Mytilus edulis: one gene and its partner. The protein of the gene in region 1 purifies or fractionates together with the protein of each later gene. This does not show direct contact. Links are inferred from orthologs where the notes say so. Each region holds a gene or a part of one and is shown on either strand. Other genes may lie near its edges.

The links.
Region 2: the proteins of sarcolemmal membrane-associated protein-like (region 1) and FGFR1 oncogene partner 2 homolog purify together in Homo sapiens (affinity purification with mass spectrometry; 3 studies listed by BioGRID and IntAct, with this or other methods). This does not show direct contact. The link is inferred for Mytilus edulis from reciprocal best matches to the Homo sapiens genes SLMAP and FGFR1OP2.

Annotation. Positions count from the first base shown.
Region 1 is NC_092344.1:98,978,780-98,990,500, reverse strand, and holds the start of sarcolemmal membrane-associated protein-like, read left to right. Parts: upstream 1-6,568; 5' UTR 6,569-6,642; intron 6,643-8,143; 5' UTR 8,144-8,173; coding exon 8,174-8,362; intron 8,363-11,721. Other genes in the region: protein DENND6A-like, read right to left, coding at 65-103, 6,248-6,403. UniProt on the Homo sapiens protein: Associates with the striatin-interacting phosphatase and kinase (STRIPAK) core complex, forming the extended (SIKE1:SLMAP)STRIPAK complex.
Region 2 is NC_092350.1:79,886,101-79,897,992, forward strand, and holds the start of FGFR1 oncogene partner 2 homolog, read left to right. Parts: upstream 1-6,977; 5' UTR 6,978-7,046; exon of another isoform or gene 7,047-7,118; intron 7,119-11,892. Other genes in the region: caldesmon-like, read right to left, coding at 334-659, 1,459-1,579, 2,120-2,229, 2,594-2,759, 3,094-3,974, 4,882-4,906. UniProt on the Homo sapiens protein: May be involved in wound healing pathway.

The DNA of each region.
Region 1 (11,721 bases):
AATTCTAACATAACAACATACATTGTTCATGTATATTTGAGGGGATATTTTGTCCTTGACCTACCTCAGCATCTGTTAACTTGACATGACTTGGATAAATAAGCTGAAATAAGAAAACATCTTTTGAAAGATATATAAAAATTAAAAACCAATTGTTCGGAGAACAATTGAAGGTCTTTCCATCAAAACAATGTATTTTGATATGAAAGTTGTGAAACGAAGTTTAAAATGTCATTTCAATCGTCAAATGATATAGCTTCTAGTACGCTGATTCCAAAAATAAATATTTGGTTTCCATACATTTTTTTTAAATAAGGGAGATAATTTGTTACTTCCTATTGAAAAATGTTACTTACGATTATATTTGATTATTTACTTGACACTGATTCCAAAAATATCTGGTTCTATATACTTTTATATTAATAAAGTACAAAAAATAGCTACTTCCGGTTTACAAAAGGTCACTTCCGGTTGTTTCTTTCAAGGTTAAATGGTTTGATACCTTTTTCCAAAAGTTTCATAGCTTTATCATGTATACATATAAAGTAAAAGCAAAGGTCAAAATCTAGAACGTCAAATTAAGCTATGACCTTGAGATCAATTTCAAGGTCATGATGAACTAAGGACCTCAAATCAAAAGACCATAGGTCTTAATTATATTTGGTTAATGACTTATATCACCAAACACGTATTTTTAAATACAAGAGGGGAGAAAACTCCCTTTTACGTTCAACGTGCCCTTGCAATAAAAATTTATGGGTTACGACATGTCGCAACTAACAATTTAGTAAAAATAATTTGTTGATATCTTATACGGTCTTTGAATATAAGTGAAAATAAGCCAAATTCAAATATTAGAATATGACCTTGACCTTTGACCTTGACCTAATTTTCAATTTTTTGGACCAAGGACCTCAAATCAAAAGATCCTAGGTCTCTATCACTTATGGTTTATAAGATAGAAATGCATATCACTTATATCAGATGCATAAGGGGAAATAACTCTCATATGGAGCGGTCATATTGCTTCGGTCAAAATAGGACAAATCATGCAAAGGATATAACGAGCAAATTTGTAAAATAAATTTGTCGTTATCTTTTACGGTTGCAAAGGAGTTGTGAGCACAAGGAAAACAGTGTTTGGGGAGATAACTCCTACAAAGAAAAGTATTCGGTTACGCAGGGTAAATTTCAAAAGCGCATAAACTGTTCGATATCATATACCAAATATCAAAGCGACATATTGTGAAACAAATGTTTATCGCAAGAACAAAATTTGGCGGAAGAAAAAAAAAAAAAAAAAAATAATCAGAAGAAAAACAATAGGTCTTTCCACAGAAAAGTGGAAAGACCTAAAAAACACATTTACATAAACTACAACATAGCATAATATAGCATTATGAGCATAATATAGCATTATGCTTTTTAGCTTATTTTCAATGTTTTTCTGAGGAAAATTACAGGACCTTGTTGCTTTGTGTCCCTGTCTTTGCAGCAGGTTCCCAACTTGGTTCCACTTAAGTTTATGCTGTCCTAGTGCCGGTATTCAATTAAGATCCCAAGTCAATTTCTTCCAATCTCCCTTACATATTTTTATAAATTTCAAGTTAACCCATAAGCTAGAGATTGTTGAGCATGTATTAGTCGTTTTAGCCATTTATAAGGAAAATAATGTCAGAACTGAATGCGAAACAAAGTTGAATAGCCCATTTGCACGAGGTCGTTATTTATTTATATCTTTACATAAGGCCACACCAATTTAATTTCTTGTTCTACGGATTTTTGGACTCCAAAATTTGGGGCGAGCGAGCGATTTGAAAATTTTAATAAAAAAATATTTAATTTGCAAATTTTTGAGGCGAAGCTTGAAAAGTAAAGGCGAGCGATTATAATTTTTTTTTTGTAAACATAAAATAGTAGGTTTTGACAATATTAAAGCTTGTACTTTGACATTTCTTTAATTTCTGAAGTATTTTTTCCCTGTTCACCAAGAAATAATCAAATCTGGTCTATGTATGTGTGACTGACAATGAGACAATTCTCCATCCAAGTCATAATCAGTTTGGGGACAACCCCTTTATGTTATAAATATCCCTTTTACATGTTTTATGAGGGATCAATATAAGTTATTATATATTTTTGTACAAAAGGGCTCATGTTTTCCCAAAGAACTATATACCTATCTGGTATTAAATGGTCAAAACATGTCCAAGAATTTTGTAATATTCCTGGACTTTAACCATGTTAATTAACACATTTACTTTAACAGTTTAATATTATTCAAAATAAGTGGACCCCTCTTTTAGAAAAAGTTGTTTAAAATATGATGTAACTCTTCTCTTTTTGAGTACAAAATTCTAAGTTTTCAAAGGTTTTGTATTGAAGAACTATACAAATCCTTGGTATTTCTATTTTCTTTTCTACATCAGTAAAATTACCCCTTGTCTGAGGGAGGGTTGTTCTCAACCTGATAATAACAAACACAGGTCAAAGTACGGCCTTTTACACAGGGCTTTGATACAGACCAAACAGCAGGCTATAAAGGATCCCAAAATTATTAGCGTACACAATTCAAACAGGAAAACCAACGATCTAATTTATATATCATGTATATCCAAACGGGAAAATACCAATGAACAACATCAACAAACGATAACTGCTGAACGACAGGCCCCTCGATCAATCAGGACAGGTGCATAAACATGCAGCGGTTATGGATAGTTTTGTTTCGCCAGCATACAATATAATTGCAGTTGAAGGCAAATCCGTCAGAAGTTCTTTGTACTTTATTCTAACAACGAAATTTTTTTGATAGGGAATATAAGTAAGGGGGAAAGTAACCAATTTTTTGTTCTTTACAGGTATTTCTGCTCTTATAAATTTATTATGGAGCACTCCCGCTTTGGATAAATAGGTTTCATGCTGAAACAAATATTCATATGGACAAGATTACATTTCCAGATGCGGGAAGCGGGAATATAAAAAAAATAAAAAAATTCTGTTTTGAAAAAAATAGGTGCGGGCGGGTCCGTCGAACAAGGAATCAAATTGGTGTGGCCTAACCATCAACAATATGAAGTTTCTCATCGGCATAGCAATGGCTGTAAAATAATTTAAAAATGTTCATGAATTACAAATTAGCAATCCAGTAGGCAATATAGAAATGGTGTACTGACATGAGTTATCTAAACATATTAGCTCCAACTTGAGCTTTCATCAGTAGAATCTGATACACTTTACAAACTTGCTATCAGTTCATGACTTTTTCCTGATTTAATAATTAAGAATTGAATGCTTCTTTTTGTAAATTTATTGGGGTGTAAAAGCGTTGACGGAAGTACATTTTGTATGAAGCGCGGAGGCGCTTCATTCTAAAAATGTACGCACAGTCAATCCGCGCTTCATTCTAAAAATGTACGCACGGTCAACGCTTTTACAACCCTATAAAGTTACAAAAAGAAGCATTCAATACTTATAATTACATTTTTTAGCTATGATTATGAAAACACGAATTTTATATATTTTATTATTTAATTCACCTGTGCACTTTATTGTTGGAGCACATGTTATCATGAATGAAAAGTTGTATTGAGCATTGCAACTGCTTACGGAATAACACGTGATGTGCAGTTAGCCAATCAGAATAAAATATTATAATGAAACATACATCTAATGTAATTATTCAATTATATCTTCCTCCCTTTATAACAATAAAAACAAGAATGTGTCCTCAGTACACGAATGCCCCACTCGCACTATCATTTTCCATGTTCAGTGGACTGTGAAATTGGGGTAAAAACTCTAATTTGGCATTAAAATTAGAAAGATCATATCATAGGGGACATGTGTACTAAGTTTGAAGTCGATTGGACTTAAACTTCATCAAAAACTACCTTGACCAAAAACTTTAACCTGAAGCGGGACAGACGGACGGACGAACGGACAGACGCACAGACCAGAAAACATAATGCCCCTCTACTATCGTAGGTGGGGCATAAAAACCCATGGCAGAACCATTAGCTAAGTGTTACTGAATTAGGGGTATAGCCAAAACAACTGTGGCCAATAAGGCTGTGTGGCTGAAACCTCCTCTAGTAATTAACTGAATTAGGGGTATAGCCAAAACAACTGTGGCCAATAAGGCTGTGTGGCTGAAACCTCCTCTAGTAATTAACTGAATTAGGGGTATAGCCAAAACAACTGTGGCCAATAAGGCTGTGTGGCTGAAACCTCCTCTAGTAATTAACTGCATTTGAATATTAATTTTGTGCAAACAAACCCAGGAGGTGAATGTTTAAGGGAGCGAACAGACTTACGATAATTTAATCATTGTGACAAAATTTACAGAAAGTGCACAAATTTGAAAGTCTTCTTCAGTTTCAGAAAACCACAACACATACTGATGTTTGCTTTCCAGCACATGCCTGGTAAAAAAATCAAATTTGTGAATTTTTTGAAAATATATTTCATGCTTTTTTATGTGCATTCAGAAAAGGCCATTGATGTCAGACAACTTTGTTGAGATTCTTGAAGATTTGAAAACAGCTTTGGATAAAAATATGTATGTGGCAGCTTTTCTAATGGATCTTTCGAAAGCTTTTGACTGTTTACCACATGATATTCTTTTAAGTAAATTATCTGCCTATGGTCTTTCTTCTAAATCAGTGAAATTACTTCAAAATTATCTTACAGATCATAGGCAACAAATCAAACTTCAGGGAGTACTCAGCAGTTGGACTGACATCCAGAAACGGGTACCCCAAGGCTCAATCCTGGGGCCCTATTATTTAATATTTTTATAAATGACATATTCTATTTTATTGAACATGGTACCCTGTATAATTATGCCGATGATAATACTCTGTCATATGCTGACAACAATTTTGAAAATTTATTATGTACACTTGAAAGAGAAAATGCTGTTTTAATTGACTGGTTTAGATTTAATTGTATGCAGGCAAATCCTGATAAATTCCAAGCCATTGCAGTTGGAAATAAAACATTTGCAAAAAAGCCTGTTTTTAATATACAGTCAGCAAAAATATCCTGTAATGAGATTGTCAAACTTTCAGGTATTGATATTGACTATCAACTTAATTTTAATCACCACATTAAAAATATTTGTTGTAAAGCATCCCAACAACTGAATGTTTTAAAGCGCATTGGCTGCTAAATTACAAAATTGAATAAATTGACCATTTTCCACACATTTATTTTTTGTCCTTTGGCATGGCATTTTTGCAACAAAAATAACACCACCAAATTGGAAAAAATTCAGGAAAGGGCTTTACGATTTATATATGAAGACTATGTTCATATGATGGACTACTTTTACAAGCAAAGGTTCCATCACTGAAAATAAGACGTACAAATGTATGCGTAACATGGCTATTGAGTGTTTTAAAAGTTGTATTGAAAGATTGTAAATATAATTTTAGATATTCTAATATTGTAGATATACCTAGGGTCCGAACATCAACCTATGGTAAGAATTCTTTTAAATACACAGCTGCTGTTTTATGGAATGATCTACCTGATGATTTTAGAAAAATTGCTAATTTTAGTCAGTTCCAAAATATTTTGAAGTCATGGAAGGGAAATGACTGTAAGTACACAGTTTGTGCAGATCTGTCATCTACATGTAGATCATACCCTGTTTTAAATATTTTATGCTATACATTTTGCCAGCTTTTATGCCTAGTTTACACCTATATGCTTATAGCTTTAATACCTAGCTTATGCTTATATTCTGCTTTTAGTGCTTCATTTTTGTGCTGTGAAATTTATTGCATGTGTATTATGTGTTGTATTGTTATAGATGTTGTATTGTTAAAAATGTTTCATATGTCAGTTAAAAGCTCATTACAGCTTATTTTGTCTATGTTTCAACTTTGTATACCTTGCCAACTCTAAATAAATCTTATTTATTTATTTTTTATTATGTAATGCATTAAAACTAAATGGTTAATCATAGTTTGTCATAGTTTTGTTATGTTAAATATTTGTTATTTTATCAATTTTTACAATTTTTCTTTGTTTATTTAGTGCAAATACAGTGTCAATGAGTTAAATATTTTTCCTTTCAAGTATGTTCGCTATTCTCACGATGGTGTTACTGAGAAAGGAGGATTATAAACACATACAATCGAGCATCGAGTTCACTGAAATCGGTACTAATGTTTATTTTTTTTCTATCAGCAGCTGTATTTATAAATCGAAAAGTCCAACGATACTGGGTTTCCCATACCTCCATGGCCTGACCTAATTCTAGGTCAAACGTAACAACACAAGCACAATATAACCAATTTGAAAATCTGTCCCATGGTAACATAGTGGGTGACTGTGGGCCATCATCTGGCGATTTTTCTCGATGGAAAACAGGTTCTTCTTTCGTTCCTGCCATTTTCGGCAGGTGTCCTTCACCTTTATTGTTGTTAGTCTCGAATCAAAAATCAATTATTTTAAGTTCTTCTGTTTCATTAAAAAATTACTAAAAGACTAATAATTTATATTTATTTTGTATAACCTAGTATTAATAATTTACTTTTACAAAGATTATAAGAATAATATTCTTTAGAGATTAAATCACACTAAAATTTTAAGATGGCTGCAGTCTCCTGAAAGGAAAGAAGAAAATGAATGGTAAGATATCAGTTTATTTCGATATGTTTTAGTTGTTTTTAGAAATTTTAGATAGATAAATAATGAACATAGGTGAATAAATATTTAGTTTCAACATGATACATCTATTATTATTGTCTCGAACTGGTGAAATAAACCCTTACACGAAATGTTATGGTAAGGTGCTTCCCTATAACTCAGACTATTCAGTATAATTTCAATAACAAATATTTTCAGTTAGAATGACTAATAAACATGTTCCTAATGTATTCCTGTTTAGGTTTTGCTTGAATTATATAGAAAGATGTGATGGTATTACTGTCCAGAAATATTTTCTTTCTGGGAACTGAGGGAAGTGAATACTGTCTTTTTTGTCAACACCAAAATGTGTTGTTATTTAACTTCTTGCTGCTGAGTTTTTTTCTTGTTTTGTTGTTTAAAAAGCATCTTGACGTTTCACATCTGTGACGTTGCAAATCTTTTGCCTCTCTGTAGAACAGCGTTTCCCCGCAATTCATAATTTTTCCAGTGTCAATGTAGCAGTAATTATCCTGAAAATATTTTTTTAAATATGAAAAGTTAATTGAAAATTATTGCTCTAAGATTGTTATCAACGTATTTTTAATATGTCAACATCATTTAAAAATTCAACTTTTAACCTTGAGATATAATATTTTTTATCTTTCTTGTCTTAAAAAAAGAATGTAAACTAGCTTTATACACGCTTTTGTTTTAATTTTGTCTAGTGAAATGCTTAACTGATTGTAACCACCTCTGAAATACTAAATTATATTACCCTTGTGATCTGTTACCTTATTTGATATTGTTATGATTGATAAATACTGTGAAAAATCTTGAAATAGTTATATAAACAAACATTGGCACCCAATGAAAATAAAAATTAAAAACAATGTTTGTACAAATATGAGTAAATAAAACTCTGAGCAGCCGAACTTCTTCTTGTAGTAGAGTATCAAAAGGTTCGGATTAAAATTTTCAATCTACGCCTTGTTTTGGTAGGCTAGGCAAGAAATTTTATAAACATTATTATCCATATTCATTTAATTTGTTATTGAATCTGGTTTATTATTAATTTGTTGACCACTAATTGCCTAAAATTGTAGAGAAATGTTTGCAAAAATAATTAAAAAAAACCCCAGAAAAACGAGAAGAAATTCTCTAAAACTATTTTCTAATGTCTACATTGTATTGTACATTGAAATAAACTTGAATCAATGATAATTCTTTTTCATTTTCTAAGATGAAGTACACACTGTATAAATTACCATACACTTAAATCTTTAAAATCTGTTGATATTGTTTGATAACTTGTTTTCTTCTCAATACTCAGTGGCAAGTATTCCATGCAATATTAAGGACTTCTGAGAATAAATATACAATACATTAGTTGCTCAATTGGTCCTATACAGAAGAAGATAGAAGATTAACTATTACCGGTATAAGAATTAAAAAAAATGAAGTTTTCTCAGTTCAGGCTCTATTATATCTTGTATAATTTTAGGATAAAGGAAGAGGTTAGCATAAGTCAGCCATGTCTGCAGTGGCTATTTTGTCCTGTCAGCCAAATTCACATCCATTTCGTGAGCGACATATTTCGCTTCATGAACCAGTCAAGATTGGCAGATCTGTAGCAAGAGCTAGACCGGCAAACAACAATGGCATATTTGATTGCAAAGTTTTATCCAGAAATCATGCCATGCTTTGGTATGAGAATGGCACAGTAAGTATATATGTATATGATGTATTTGCAGTTCTTGTGTGCTTGGTTTACAAAACATGTGTTCATACACTGCATTCCCTTACTTGGTGTGAAAGGTATTTGATAATGCTTATATATTACCATCAGTATATAAACAATTGTACCCTCAGTAACATTCTTGTATGCATCATTATGCTAAGCCAATCTTTATCCATCTTTCTAGAGCTTGAAACTTTATTTAATGTGATGGTCATAAATTCATACATGGAATTCAAAAGTCCCACAATGGATTGAAGGTGTGTGTATGTACTGTAGTTGGTGTATAGATTACCGCTTACTGTAACCTTATATGACACAATACTTATGAAATAAACATGTATTAATTATGTAATATCAAATCAGAGGCACTAGGTTTAGGTTTTCTTGTGGTACCATTAAAAAGGCTTGTAGGCACTTAGTGGTATATACATACACCAAAATCTTCAAAATTAAATCAGTGACTTTGAAGGAACACCTATTTTAAAATTGTGTGGTCCTAGGTTTATGGTCAAGGTCCCTAGTAGTATAGAAATTCTTGCAAGCATTGCAGAGCATTCAATAGCGTCTTTTCTATTGTGTCCAATCGTTTTCAAACTTTTTTCAATTGAATACAAGCAAGCAGAATAGGATAGCGGTATGAAATGTACAGCTTGTAGGTTAAAGATCAATGTCAAATGATGATTCTTTGATCTTTCTAAAGCAGGTATAACATAATGATAATCATTTGATCTTGCGATGTCAAATTGTGTGAATCTAATATTATGTGAAATTGAATGACTTATAAATATTAATTGAATTGAATTGACTTATTAAAAGCTAAAAACAGAATTTTTAAATTGTTATTTCAGACTAAGATAAGAAAATACATGTACCTATCAAATTAAACTCTGGCTGCCACTCTTTAATATAACATAAATGTATGAATAGGAGAATACAAAATAGTGATAAGAGAATTACTGTATTTGTCAGTAAAGCCAATATCAGGCATACTGATTTATAAATTGGCCAATCAATACATACCAGAAATAACTAGCAATATTGGTTTAAAATTTGATATTTAATACAATTATGGTCAAATTAATATTGATATTGACAAAGTGTTTGCTTATGATGAATTATAATTATCCTGTATGTCCCATTTAATCTTTACATTTATAGTAACTTTCATTATTTTATTTTTTCCCAATAAATTGAGAAAGCTGTCCAATTGTAAAAAGACTTGATGCTGACAATTGCTGATTGTTGATTGTTTTCAATAATTAAAATAATAATATACACATTGTTAAGATAAAACTAATTGATTGTGGACTGCTTAATGTCCAGTGGCAAATATTACATGTATTTTCAACATGAAACATTTGAAGATATTGCTTTGTTCAAGTCTATTGTGTTAAATTTAATCTTTAAGTTATAATACACAGAAACACTTCAAGGACACAATTTTCATATTTGCAAGAACATATGGTTTTGGTTGTACATAGTAAAATGAGACATAAATACAATCCTTCAATTACATTTTCAAATGATATAATACTTCTTAAGACTAGAAGGATTTTAAATACTAATATGAGAGACTCTTCAAGTTGATACTCTAACCTGTAAATGGAACATTTTAATGCATGATTTAAAATATCAATTTGACATATTTACCAGTGAAAAAGGGTCCAAAGGTAAGGAAAGAAAAATGACACTGAATAAACCAGACTATCAAACATTTAATTACAACTTGCAGTCACATTACAGGGGAAAGATTTTCCTGTTTTTATTGCAAAAAGAGGTGTTGAAATATAAAATACAGAGCATACTGAATTATTGTTTTTTTTTTGTTTTATTGTTATTGTTTAATTATTTGTGGAACGTTTACTCAGATAATCTCCCTACATATGAATTTCTAATTCACATAAAATTCCATTTAAAAATCACATTCACTATAGATGGTTGATTTAGGGACTTCTTTTGAGAGGTTCTAGACTGGTATCCAGGGTTTTCTTTTAAGGAAATTTGACTGGTTTCCAGTCAACTGGCATCTTATTCCCTTTTGCTAAAAATAGATTATAGTTTATATTGGGACTCATGGATGCTGTTTTGAATAAGTATGAAATTTCATGTATTTTTGAATTGAACTATTTGACATCTAGGCAACTGTTGTAACATCCTGTGTAGCTATAGTAATCAAGTGGATAAGCAGAATCTTTTGTTGTTAATTGTACCTTAATGTAGAATACAGGTGATAAACATAACCCATCTATAACTAATCATTGCTAGTTATATAACCTATCATATACCAAGTCTATGTATGTTGGAATGTAACAAGACAGGTAAAACTTAAGTGCAGGGATATTGCTTGTTACTATATAAATGACCTTCAGGTGAATTTGTTAAACAGATTTTGAGGAGGGGGGTCCCGGCCCTCCTTTTTAGGAAAAAATTTTGTTGATTATATAAGAAATCCCTGGTGTATGACTGGAGCAAGTCGCCTTGGTATAGGCAGTCAGTGGACCTCCACTAATGAAAAATTCTGCATCCTCAACTGGCAATTCAGGACACTTTGATATATACAAGTTTGATCTTAACAGATATATATTGACCAATTTGATGTATTGAAAGACAGTTATTGCATGGACAGTGATATGGGAATTGTATGGACTGGTTGTATATGAGTTAATGATTTATACTGTCTTGGTTGTGGTTTATTATGAAATATTTGCATCTTGCCTTAGGACGATATGACAAAAAGTCATGACCCAACTAGTATATATGTTATGTATGCCCTATAGGTTTGTTTTGGTTTAGCAAGTTGTAGAAAGTGTTATGAAGTTTGGTTGTTGACTTGTGCAATACTTGGTTATAGATTGTAGGGATGATAAGGGTCTCAAACAAAGAGAACTTCAGATAATGGAGTTTATCAAGTTTCTGTACATCATTTGTTGTTTGATGTCACATTCTTACTAACCTAATTTCTCCTCATCAAGAGAAAAGATGGTTTTGTAGGTGATAAATTATAGATGCAGTCCCACTAATGTGTTTGTACATTAAGCTATTTTTTTAGGTTGATGCTGAGACTTGTTATTGCTACTGAGTTGAAGTAGATTTAGATAACATAGAAAATAACATCACAGGGTGACATAATCATACAAGGCCATTCATATCTTTCAAGGCATTTATCAAACCACTTTGCAAGTCTTCACTTTAATTATAGAAAGCTTGATATTTTTACACACTTTGTCAAAATATTATGATTCACTGTTGATTACCTCAATTATAAATACTTACCTTTTTTACTCCTACACAAACCTTAAGTAATATTTTAGGAAGATTCAGAATTTTAATTGTAATTGTGA
Region 2 (11,892 bases), on another chromosome or scaffold:
TCTTGATTAAAACATTTAAAAAAGAGACTAATGTGTTTTCTGAATGATGTGACCATTCTTCTAATTCTAATTTAATACAAGCCCAAGTATATCCGTTATTTGTATTTTTTTAGTTGTATTTTGATTTTAAATACAGAGACTATTTTTTAATATAGATATGCATAAACACCATGCAACCACTATAAAACAACACCAGGTTAAAACAAAACAAAATTTTAATAACAAAAATTATAATCAATAACTAAGTGAACAAACAAAAAAACAATTAACAAAGTGAACAAAAGAAAAAATAAACAAATAAATATGTGATAAAAAAATCCATAGCTCATTAAATCAAGAACAAACTGTATCCCTGTCTTCAGTATTCTGGCTACAGCAACAGCAGCAAAGTCGTTTGAACCATTTTCTTAAACGATGAAATCTACTTAAAGGGCGTGCATTAATAGAATCAATGTGTGTGCGAACTGGTTTGGTTGGTTCATTTAGCAGAAGTGTGTTAACTAATTCAGCGGCTCTATGACTGGTAGACTTTGATATTGTGGTCTCATGTGTTTCTTTCAATGGAGTAAAAAATGGCTTAAGTCTTGGTCTGGGTGGTTCCTCGATATCACTGAGTGTGAACCATTCACTGTTTGATGTTCTTGCTGTATCTGGTTGGTCTAAATCAAAGAAAAATTAGAAGAATTATTATAAGTTATAACATTAAGTTTTGTTGTATTTTTATTACCGGTAATACAAAGTTATAGTACCGATCCTTTATATACCACATGCAGGGCAAATGTTTCTGGATCAATAATACGCTAAAGACCAGAAGTTTGACAGGCGAAATGAAAATTTCAGATATCAAATTCAAAAAGATGAGCAACATAACAATCATTAGTTTTTTAATCTATATTGGTGCAACCATGATTTATTACGACGCATGCAATATTGATTTGATTTAATCGAGTCGTAAAACTAGTGATTATGTCCTTTTGGATGGAGGGTACCCTAATGTACTGACATTCCGTTTATAGCTGTGCTGCTTCATCAGATACGCTTGACGTATCTGTTGAAGCCGCTTGACATATCTGTTGAAGCATTTTTAGTATCATAATAGCCAATTACGGGTCTCCTTTCTGATCTTTCTATTTTGCTCAATAAACTGATTGAGAAAGGTTATAGTTAAACCACTATTGTTGTTATTAAAACTACATCTTTTAGTCTTGGAAGACAAATAATATAAAGTTGGATCCCCCTTTCTTTAAATATTCAATTTGCGCACCTCAAATTAATTGGTACTGTGTTTTCAAATTCCCATATCAGATTCAACAACAATAACAACAACAACAACAACAACAACAAACAAGAGGATGGGTGTTCTTGACAACTTGTATAACATAAACAAGAAGAACAACAACAACAACGAAAAAGACAAGTTATAAAGTGAAATAATTGTAGTTTGACTGAGGTTATTACCTTCATCTTCATCATGTTCATGGTCATCCTCTTTTTTATCGTTCAAAAATGTCAAATCTAGCTTCAATTCTTCTGGGTCTATCTGTTTAGCACTTAAATCAGCTGTCGTCGATTTGCTTCTCTGAAAATAAAAATAAATCAATTTAAATACTATTTTTCATCAAAATAAAATATCAATTGTGTTTTAAATGTAAAAAAAATGGTAAATTGTCAATGCCAAGGTAAGTAGACGCGTAATGCATATGAATAAACAGAGATGCGGGGTGTACGCAATAGTGAACAGAGATACGGGATATATACAGTAGTGGACAGAGACACGGGGTATATACAGTAGTGAACAGAGATACGTTGTATATACAGTATACGTAGTTAACAGAGATACGGGGTATATGCAATAGTGAACAGAGACACGGGGAATATACAGTAGTGAACAGGGATACGGGGTATATGCAATAGTGAACAGAGATACGGGGTATATGCAATAGTAAACAGAGATACGGGAAATATACAGTAGTGAACTGAGATACGGGATAATTAAAGCAGTGAAATGAGATACGGGATATGAACGACAATAAAATGAGATACGGGGTATACAACAATAAAAAAAGCTATAATCTAACTAGAAATATAATAATAAAATTGAGAATGAAAATATCTTTACCTTGAACATCCTGCTTACGAAGCGTCTAACGGAGCTTGTTCTCTTTACGTCATTGGTTCTGTCGGCCTCTAGTATTTCTGCATCACTTCTTGTTCTTATGCTGATGTGTCCTATCAAATATATTGTTATAGTTTTTAAAGTACTTCAGCCTTAGTATTTTAGTCACGTGTTCTGAAAGGATCTTAAAGCATAATATTAGTTATATGGTTGCGACTAGCCCTTTACCGTTTCAAAGAGAGAAATTAAAATCAAAAGAGGATCTGGTCGAATTCATATTTTCGGTCGAATCTCCTTTTGCTTTTACTTAGTACCCTTTGTTGATACGTATATAGGGAGTTGATGAAATTGTTTGTTCTAACAACTTTAAATTTGTATTAAGTTTCCTGGGGACTCATCTTGTCTGCTTATAGTTAGCTATAATACTATATAGTAGAGAGCATAATCAATCAATATCTTAAATTATTATAAACTTACTATTTTCTTTATTTTCTTCTGTATCTCTATGTTTTATGGCATGTGATAGTTCAAGTTTTCGCTGGAGATCTTTTTGTTCTTCGGTGAAAGCTTTCACTCTCTCGTGAAGTTTTGAGACTGAGGATTTCAGCATTATGTTGTATTCAGTATTGCTGCTACTTGGATACTATAAAATAAACAGCCCAATAATATAGCATTAATATTGTGTAATACACTAGTCATTTTCTTTTCTACAAAATCGAAACAAACTTTCGAGAAATCAAGTGAATATACCTAGTCATGAATAAACTTTTTAACAATTTACATACATTTTGTACATGTATTATAAAATCTAAAAACTTAACATTACCAACACCAACAATGACTGGATACGATCGCATAGAACAATTATATAATGATTCAAATTTAGGACTTCGTACCAATACATACTGATTTATTATTTTCATTATTTATTTATATTTTTTAAAAAGGATGCAACATTATAGTATATTTTTAAATACCAGATTGTAATGCTCTTTTGATGGACCTGGTACATATGAGGCCGATAATGGACTGACTGCAGGTTTATGAAAATCCTCAAACATCTTTCTGATCTGTTCCTGTCTTTTTTTCTCTCGTCTCTCCTCTCTTTCTTCTTTCCATATTTTCTCTCTTTCAAATGCTTCAACAAGTTTTTGTCGCTCTGCATCCCTAACCGATTGGAAGAACGCTACACGGTCCTTCTCACTAGCTGTTTCTTCTGTTAGTGCCTCTGTTTCGACCTGATTGTTCAAAATCTCCTCTGTAATAATTATCTTTGGTTTGGCTTGAACGTCCCGATTCTCTACTTTGTCGACTTGTGTGTTCAGTGTTGACATAAGTCTATCAAGCTCTTTAAGTCTGGCTTCTCCAAAGAAAGCAATTATTTCCTCATCACTAGCTGTTTCTGTGTTCTCTGCTTCAGCATTTTGTTCTTTCACTGTTGCAGTAAGTCTCTCAAACTCTTTGATTCTGGCATTTCCAAAGAAAGCAATTCTTTCCTCTTCACTCGCTGTTTCTGTGTTCTCTGCTTCAGCGTTTTGTTCTTTCATTGTTGCAGTAAGTCTCTCCAACTCTTTGGTTCTGGCACCTCCAAAGAAAGCAATTCTTTCCTCTTCACTCGCTGTTTCTGTGTTCTTTGCTTCAGCATTTTGTTCTGTCATTGTTGCAGTAAGTCTCTCAAACTCTTTGGTTCTGGCATTTCCAAAGAAAGCTTCTCTTTCCTCTTCACTTGCTGTGTCTGTGTCCATTGCTTGTTGAACTGACACTGCATCTGATTCTGTTTCGCTGCAAGCAGCATGCAATACAGATAAGATAAATCCGCTCAAGTTGCGTTCAAAGATCGCGTTATCTTCATTCATACCTGAAAATGGCACAACGATATATTAAAGGCCAGGCTGACGGCAAAAAAAAAACCACCATATTATAACACAACTGATTGTCCCATGTCAATTGACAAGGTTCGTTTATCCAAGTCGGCTTATCCAAACAAAATTTCAGTTTAATTTTATATTCCATATTTCCAGCTTTTCCGTAATAGTATATCAGAAAATTTTCCACTTCATTTATTCTTATAAGAATAAATGAAGTGGAATATATATATATATATATATACAGAAGTATCTATGAAAGCGTGTTTGATGGTGCCGAGTAGGAATTCTTAACCGCCAAACTTTAAATCACCGCTAAGTTCCGTTTTTTTTAATTTATATTTTTTCATTGTTAACGTCAAAAATGGAAATAATTTGAGCCTAATAACTTGTTTTGCCCTAAATCAAGAGTAAGGCCTTAATTATGTAAGACGCTTAAAACTTTCCTGAAATACCAACTAAGATCATATTCTTTTTAATGCCACTTATTTATAATACTAGTAATTGTAAAGGTTTTTCACATCTCCATAAAACATTAAATGCAAAACTAAATCGTCATATACAGTATCGTATTACTAAAAGTAAAAAGCCGCGTAGACGGCCGAGGTGAAAATGGGGAAAGGGTGTTCAACCATATGAATAAATATATAGTTTAACGCTGATATTTTCCTACCGTATGCGCAAAGCTGAAGCGCACACAAACAAACCATACATTTGAAACCAATCGTTATATAGAAGTACATATTTTGAAGCACGAACAATCGAAAGCTGTTGAATGCATCTTGTGACATTCGCAATCATTACAAGTTTCGATTGCATATATCAAAAAAGATATATTCCAAAAAGACGCAGTTGACATGCAATAATAAAATTTCTAAAATAAGAATAACTAATACTTACTAAAATCTTTAATTTCCTTATTCATCTTCTAGATAATACGTAATTCTTTCTTTTTTCCTCCTCGTTCTCTTTGCATAAAATAAATATAAACTGTTTCGCTCGACAACAACGTTGCTACTGAAGATATTATGACGTCCGACGTCAATCGAAGTCGTCACTAATTTCCTCCTTACTTCGCGACGGAAAGAAACGCTAAATGTAAATATAATCCGCGATGATGTATATATTCCATTAATTTTAATGCAGTTTTGAAAATTGTAAGCGAGGAAAGCGTAAAAAATATATAAATTATAAATTAAAAGCAGTCATGATATTACGATTAATTTTTTTGAAAAATCGGACGATCATTTCTGAGTTATCGCTCTTTGGATGTCAATAGTCAGCGAATTGCGCCATGTTTTGATCGGTTTCTTCAAAACTATTATGATCTTGAAAACAATTTGATTATCATTAAGACAACCTCACTCATATATCAAATTGACAGAAATTGTAAATATACCCGTTAAAGATGTTATTGACCATTGTGAATAATAATCTTGAATAGAGATCTATTTTCTCTTTTTGCGGTGTTTGTTAAAATTTTGAAAAAAAAACAATAGATAGATTCTCAAACCCCTAAAAACCATTCGCTAGATTTATAGGATATACAAATAACTTGATGTGGTCGGAATCTTCAGTAGCCTCAGTATATGAATTATTGCCTTTCATTGCTGATTTGACACATTTTTTGCATTTTTGCGATAACTTTTGTAGAAATTAACTACTCCAAATTCTCCACCTCGATCTCCATGAAAATCTACAATTGATAAAGTTATGGATTGTTTTTTTTGTTTTTTTTTGTTTTTTAATTTTGTAATATTTGCAAAGAATTACAAGAGTGCACACGCTGAAATGTCTCGCCTTCTTTACTTACCATTGATTTTATGTTGAAAGGCATAAATATAAAGCTTTATCCTGCAATTAGCCTACTATTGTACAAATAACAGGTATACAAATTCATTTTTGCTTTATTTGTACATGTACAGATGACACCTACAAGTTGGACGTTTAAACAAAATAAGCATTCAATACACCAAACATATTAGACTTATTGCTTAAAGTATCTGATATATGGACTTGACCACAAAAACTTAACCGTGGTCACTGATCCATGAAATGAGGTCAAGGTAAAATGAAAACTGTCAGACGGTCATGAAGACCTTGTTAGGTACGCACATACTAGTATATAAGAATTGTCATAATGTCATTTGTTATAATTAAATCACCAATGAATTTATTTCAGCAGAAAACAATAAGAACCTGAGGGAGCAACCATTTAGCTTTAAAGGGGGGGGGGGGGGACATGTTTTTAGTTTGAGTCAGATTTTTTCTCTCACGCCAAGCGCTTTGCCGCTATCAATCAAAGTTCAAAATTTAACACTAGAAGGTATGGTGAAAATCTGGATTCAGAATACTATCTTAAGTCCTCTGCTTGAATAGAATACTGAATATTTTTTCATCAATTTGGGAAACAGAATATTTGTTTACGAAAAAAAAAATTAGCACCCTCCGGCCTTTTGAAGTTCAATGGTCGTTCCCTAAACATATTCCACTTAAACCTGGGAATATATATATATATATATAAGTTCTCGATTTGAACTTAATATTTTTCATACTACCATGATCTACCATGTCTATATGTAATAATGAAATGCACTTTTCTTTTTTCATTGACAATACAAACTTTTTACATGTTTACTTTAAATTATAATTTTAAAAATTAAATTATGAAAATTTACATAGACTCGATTAATTATGAGTGGAATTGACCTTTTATATAGCTAACAATATATACGGCCAGAGATATATGTCTCTGTCTGAGACATATGTCTCTGTCTGAGACATATATGTCTCTGTCTGAGACATATGTCTCTGTCTCTGATACGGCTTTATAGGATGACCAACAAAACTGTTATTGAAATTTTCCAGTGGGATCCTTTATAGTGCGCTAGAAGCTGATTGCATTTAAAAATATATTTGTGTTTCTATTTTACAACGTTTTAACAGAAATCAGTATAATGAAGTGTATCTCATCTGATTTAAAAATTTAATAATATCGGGATCGTATACTAAGGTTTTATGATGTCCTATGACTAAGATCAACTTCCTGTTTATTTTGACAGAAGGTAAAAAAAAATATGTTTTGAAAACAACTTATTCAATCACAACTCTCACGCAATTTACTTGCAACATTTTAGGTAATTGTCGAAACTCTGAAATTTATTTTTCTTCAGAGATACTTGCACTTTAGAGTTGGCCACTATTCAAAATTGTCATTGCCATTTGCATTGGTTTTGGCACAGGGGCTTGTTTAGTGGGTCTGACGAGGTTTTACTGTCAATGGCGATCGCTATCCTATATAAAAAACCAAGTATATTAAAGTTAGATATACTGTTCCCAGGTTTGGGCTTGGGTTACCATACATTGATAGCCCAAAAGAAATCACTAGCCTGCATTTCTTAACAAATATCGTTTCATAGCTCTGTCAACTGCCAGACTACTTTTGTGTATTGAACTTTCATGACCTTGCCTTGGAATGTGTATTGCAGTAGCATTTCAACAAGTCTGCTGGAAGTTATTGAAATGCTTGACAATACACCTTATCGCTAATCCCGGCTGACCCGGCCGCTTGAACTGGTCCGAGTACACAGTTATCGTCCTTTGATTTTCGTTGTCCACGAATATAGTCCTTAATGTGGACAGTGTGTTACTTGCCAATTTATGTTATACCCCTTCCAAATTTAATTCTCCATGTTTTATGCCTCATATAGCAAGTTGGGGGGTGAAATGACACTGTAAAAAAATTTGGGTCATAAATATTTAGGTAAAGTAGTGATAAGGTCCAGCTGAAAAAGGTCAAAAATTAGCACTTCGGAAGCTGTCAAAAGATTTCAAGACCCCCTTAACACAAAATTGTCCATATTTTGACTTAGAGCTGATGAAGTTTTCTATAATTTTGATATAATTTGTCCCAAAAGTAGTACAACACACTGTAAAAATGTTATTGAGAAAGCGCAGGTGAGATTTTTTTTATTTACATTTATTGTCTAAAAGAAATGCACTACGAAATAACTGTGTACTCGGACCTAAGAGGTGAAATCAGGAAATATAGAATCTGTACTTTGGCAACTTCCCTGAATGATCTGATGGTGTCAATTTGTCAAATAGCATAAAACTAAAGGATTTAAACTTTTATTTGATAGAATTTCTGCAAAAATTACCAATTTTGGCATTATATGGTCAAAATAAGCATTTCATAGCTTTTTCAATTTTGATGCATAAGTGGCATTTTGACTTTCTATCTGACATGTTTTCATGTGTCAATTTTTGTGTTTCTATGCTTTAATCCAGTTGTATTACTCATTTGTGAACTCTGAATCTACAGAAAAGAAGATTATCTCAGACAATATGAGCAAAGTGTGTTGTATAAATGACCCTCATCTAACGCCCTGTTTGGATCAAGTTAAATGTGAGGAGCATGGTACATAAAAGTTGAAGTCCATAATAAAGACCTCACTAAAATTGTATAAAAAGCATTTAACAATGTCTTTTGTACCTGTTTCATTTCACATAATATCTTTCTTTACCTCTGTAGGATACCATGTGGTTCAAATATAAGCCTGTTGAGACTAAAATTGATGCAAGTATTTCACTAAAAAGTGAAAAATCTTTGTATCAGACCATACTGTCTGCTCAAAAAGTTGAATGTAATAGGCTTTTTGTGCTCAGATTTATTGTATCATGTCACCTGAGTATAGAAATGATAGAAAAGACACAATTTTTTATTTCCTATAGCTTCAATATGCATTTTTAAATGTAAATATGTGCTACGGCCTAAATTGACCCTAAATTATTTTTAGTCATACTTGGCCTAAGACCCTTTTAAACTAATATGATATGTTATTTGTAAGTTTTCTTTCCATTTAAAGTACATTAAGTACATATGTAAGGATAATTTATAATCAAAATGCTTCACAAATTTAAAATTGCTGGAAAATATTACATCTTCATGTAAGGCTCCCCTTCATTAGAAAACCTCCATTTTTAGGCACAGGCTCATATAAATTTGACTTTTGAAAAATTATGCTAAGTCTGATATATAAAATGAGTACTGAATTGCTTTAAATACATGATGTATTATATATTAAGGCATTTTAAAAGTATTTTTTTGCAATTTTTTAATTTTAAAAGCCCCAAATGTTGATAGTTGAAATTTCTCAATTTTAACGTCCAAATTTAACACGTAAAGTTGAATATAGAATTAATCATAGTGTCTATAATATATATCCTATTGCTATGAAACTTTGTAAGCAGTCTTATAATATATTAGGCTTTTGTCATACCAAGTTTTATAAAGATTGGGCAACTTTTTCTATCCTATTAGGTCCGAGTACACAGTTATCGTCCTTTGATTTTCGTTGTCCACGAATATAGTCCTTAATGTGGACAGTGTGTTACTTGCCAATTTATGTTATACCCCTTCCAAATTTAATTCTCCATGTTTTATGCCTCATATAGCAAGTTGGGGGGTGAAATGACACTGTAAAAAAATTTGGGTCATAAATATTTAGGTAAAGTAGTGATAAGGTCCAGCTGAAAAAGGTCAAAAATTAGCACTTCGGAAGCTGTCAAAAGATTTCAAGACCCCCTTAACACAAAATTGTCCATATTTTGACTTAGAGCTGATGAAGTTTTCTATAATTTTGATATAATTTGTCCCAAAAGTAGTACAACACACTGTAAAAATGTTATTGAGAAAGCGCAGGTGAGATTTTTTTTATTTACATTTATTGTCTAAAAGAAATGCACTACGAAATAACTGTGTACTCGGACCAACTTGTGACACATACAACAATCACTTTTTATTGTGGGGTCAGATATTTTGTTTTACAGACATCAAAATTTTACAGGAACCTGTGTGATATCCAGTAAATGCAGTAATGGTGGACAAATAGCGATAAGGTGTAATTACTAATATTTGTATATTCGAAGACATACTGGACATTTTATAGAGGGGATCAACCTACATTCCAACATATCCTTGTGTATTGTATTTTCCACCTACCAAAATATTTCTCTGCCATTGTCTGCTGAAATATTTGTTTTTGTTCTTCAACTTTAATTAATTTTAATTTGCATCAACCAAATGCTATGAAACTTATTCACAATGCTAAGGCCACGGTTTTTTAATTTGTTTGTTTACGGATTTTCTCCATGAAAAAGTCGGGTCGGTCGGTCGGGAAAAAATAAAAAAAATATCTTTCAAGACAGAAAACTGATATGCAAAATAAATATATATTTCACCTTTCTAATAATATGTTTGTTATCCTATTTTGTCATCATTTCTTAAATTTTAGTTTAATGAAATATTATTGCTCAGTTGTAATAAAAATTGCATGACATTGCCTAATAATTTTCCGAAAAAAAGGGGGTGCACGGACAAAGACGTAATTAAATTTCATAAAGGAAGACAAATTCACATAGCTCTTAATCAATTCCAGAAAACTTGGTGAATAATGATCTTCAAGAACGAAAACTTATAAAGAAATAAATGTAAAAGCGTGGTAAGAAAATAATTTTCAACACACGCGTCAAAAACGTAATAGACTCGTCCACTGGAAAAAACGAGAATATCGGGTTAATCTGTTGTCACGCATTCCCGTTTTTATCCAAATGGACGAAATTTTTTTATTATCTATGAAACAAGAAAATTTTAAATGATCTGTTAATATTCAGTACTTTAACTTGATGTCCTGAACTTCCACCTGTCCACATTTGGACAAGTCTATTTCTATGAGAAGATGCATCTTACGGACTGTTGACAAATAAGAGAAACGAACTTATTGTGTAATTGGTTTTAAACAAGGGTTTCGTTCCACAAAAATATTTCTCCAAACGACATGTCAAGGTCATTAATAATCGATTTTTCTATTTTTAGAAACGTAAACTGGAAGTTTCATTTTTTCACAACAGAAAGTGTTATCAATTCTGTTAGTGATTAATGCATTTCATTTATAAAAAAAGGATAATTTATTTATTTTTCAGGGATAATGCATTTGTTAGGGTCGGTGGGAATGAAAAAGCATGAAAAGTCAATTTTATTTTTATTCTGGAAATAGGCAAAATCAGGTCGGCGGATCCGTAAACCAACAAATTAAAAAATCCTGGCCTAATTAACAAAAAGCGCAGATCAAGTTTGAAATTTGTAGGCCTTATTTTGACTGTATGCCCTTTATAAATGAAAAAAATGCTGAATTTTTTGTTTCTGTTTCCTAACTTAAGTAATGTACATGTAAGTTGCATTGACTAAATGTTATAAAACTTATCATGCATATTACAACAAAACTCAGTCGGAATACAAATTTGGGTATTGCCACATTTACAGTTCTTGAGTTACAAAATTTATGTATGTCCCTTTATAACTTCACATGCAAGCGCGGGCATCATCTGTGACCCATGGACTTGGAAATTGTTAAAGCAACAAACATGACAAAGGCTGAAAGAGGTTATTGTTTGTAATTGATACATATACAAACTACAATGTATATATATAAGTTAAATTCATACAAGTTAATGGGATAACCAATTAAAAAATATTAATATTATAATTGAGAAAACATCAAACTGAAAGCCAACTGATTATTGTCAATGTGCATTCTTGATGTTAATAACATATAATGTACATTTTAAATAATGTATGAACATGATGAAATGACCCTCTACAATTGTAAATTTGCAAACAATTATTCTCAAATAAAAATGAAAGAAAAAAGGTGAAAATAGACATGATAGAATCATGAGAATTAGGGCCAATTTTACCAGAGGCCAAGTTTACTTTTTTACAGCTATGCTTTGATTTGTACCCCATAACACATACAATGTAGTCACTACTAGTCAGCTATAAATGGCCCCAAAATGACAATGTAAAACAATTCAAACGAGATAAGTAACGACCTTAATATTTATCTTCAA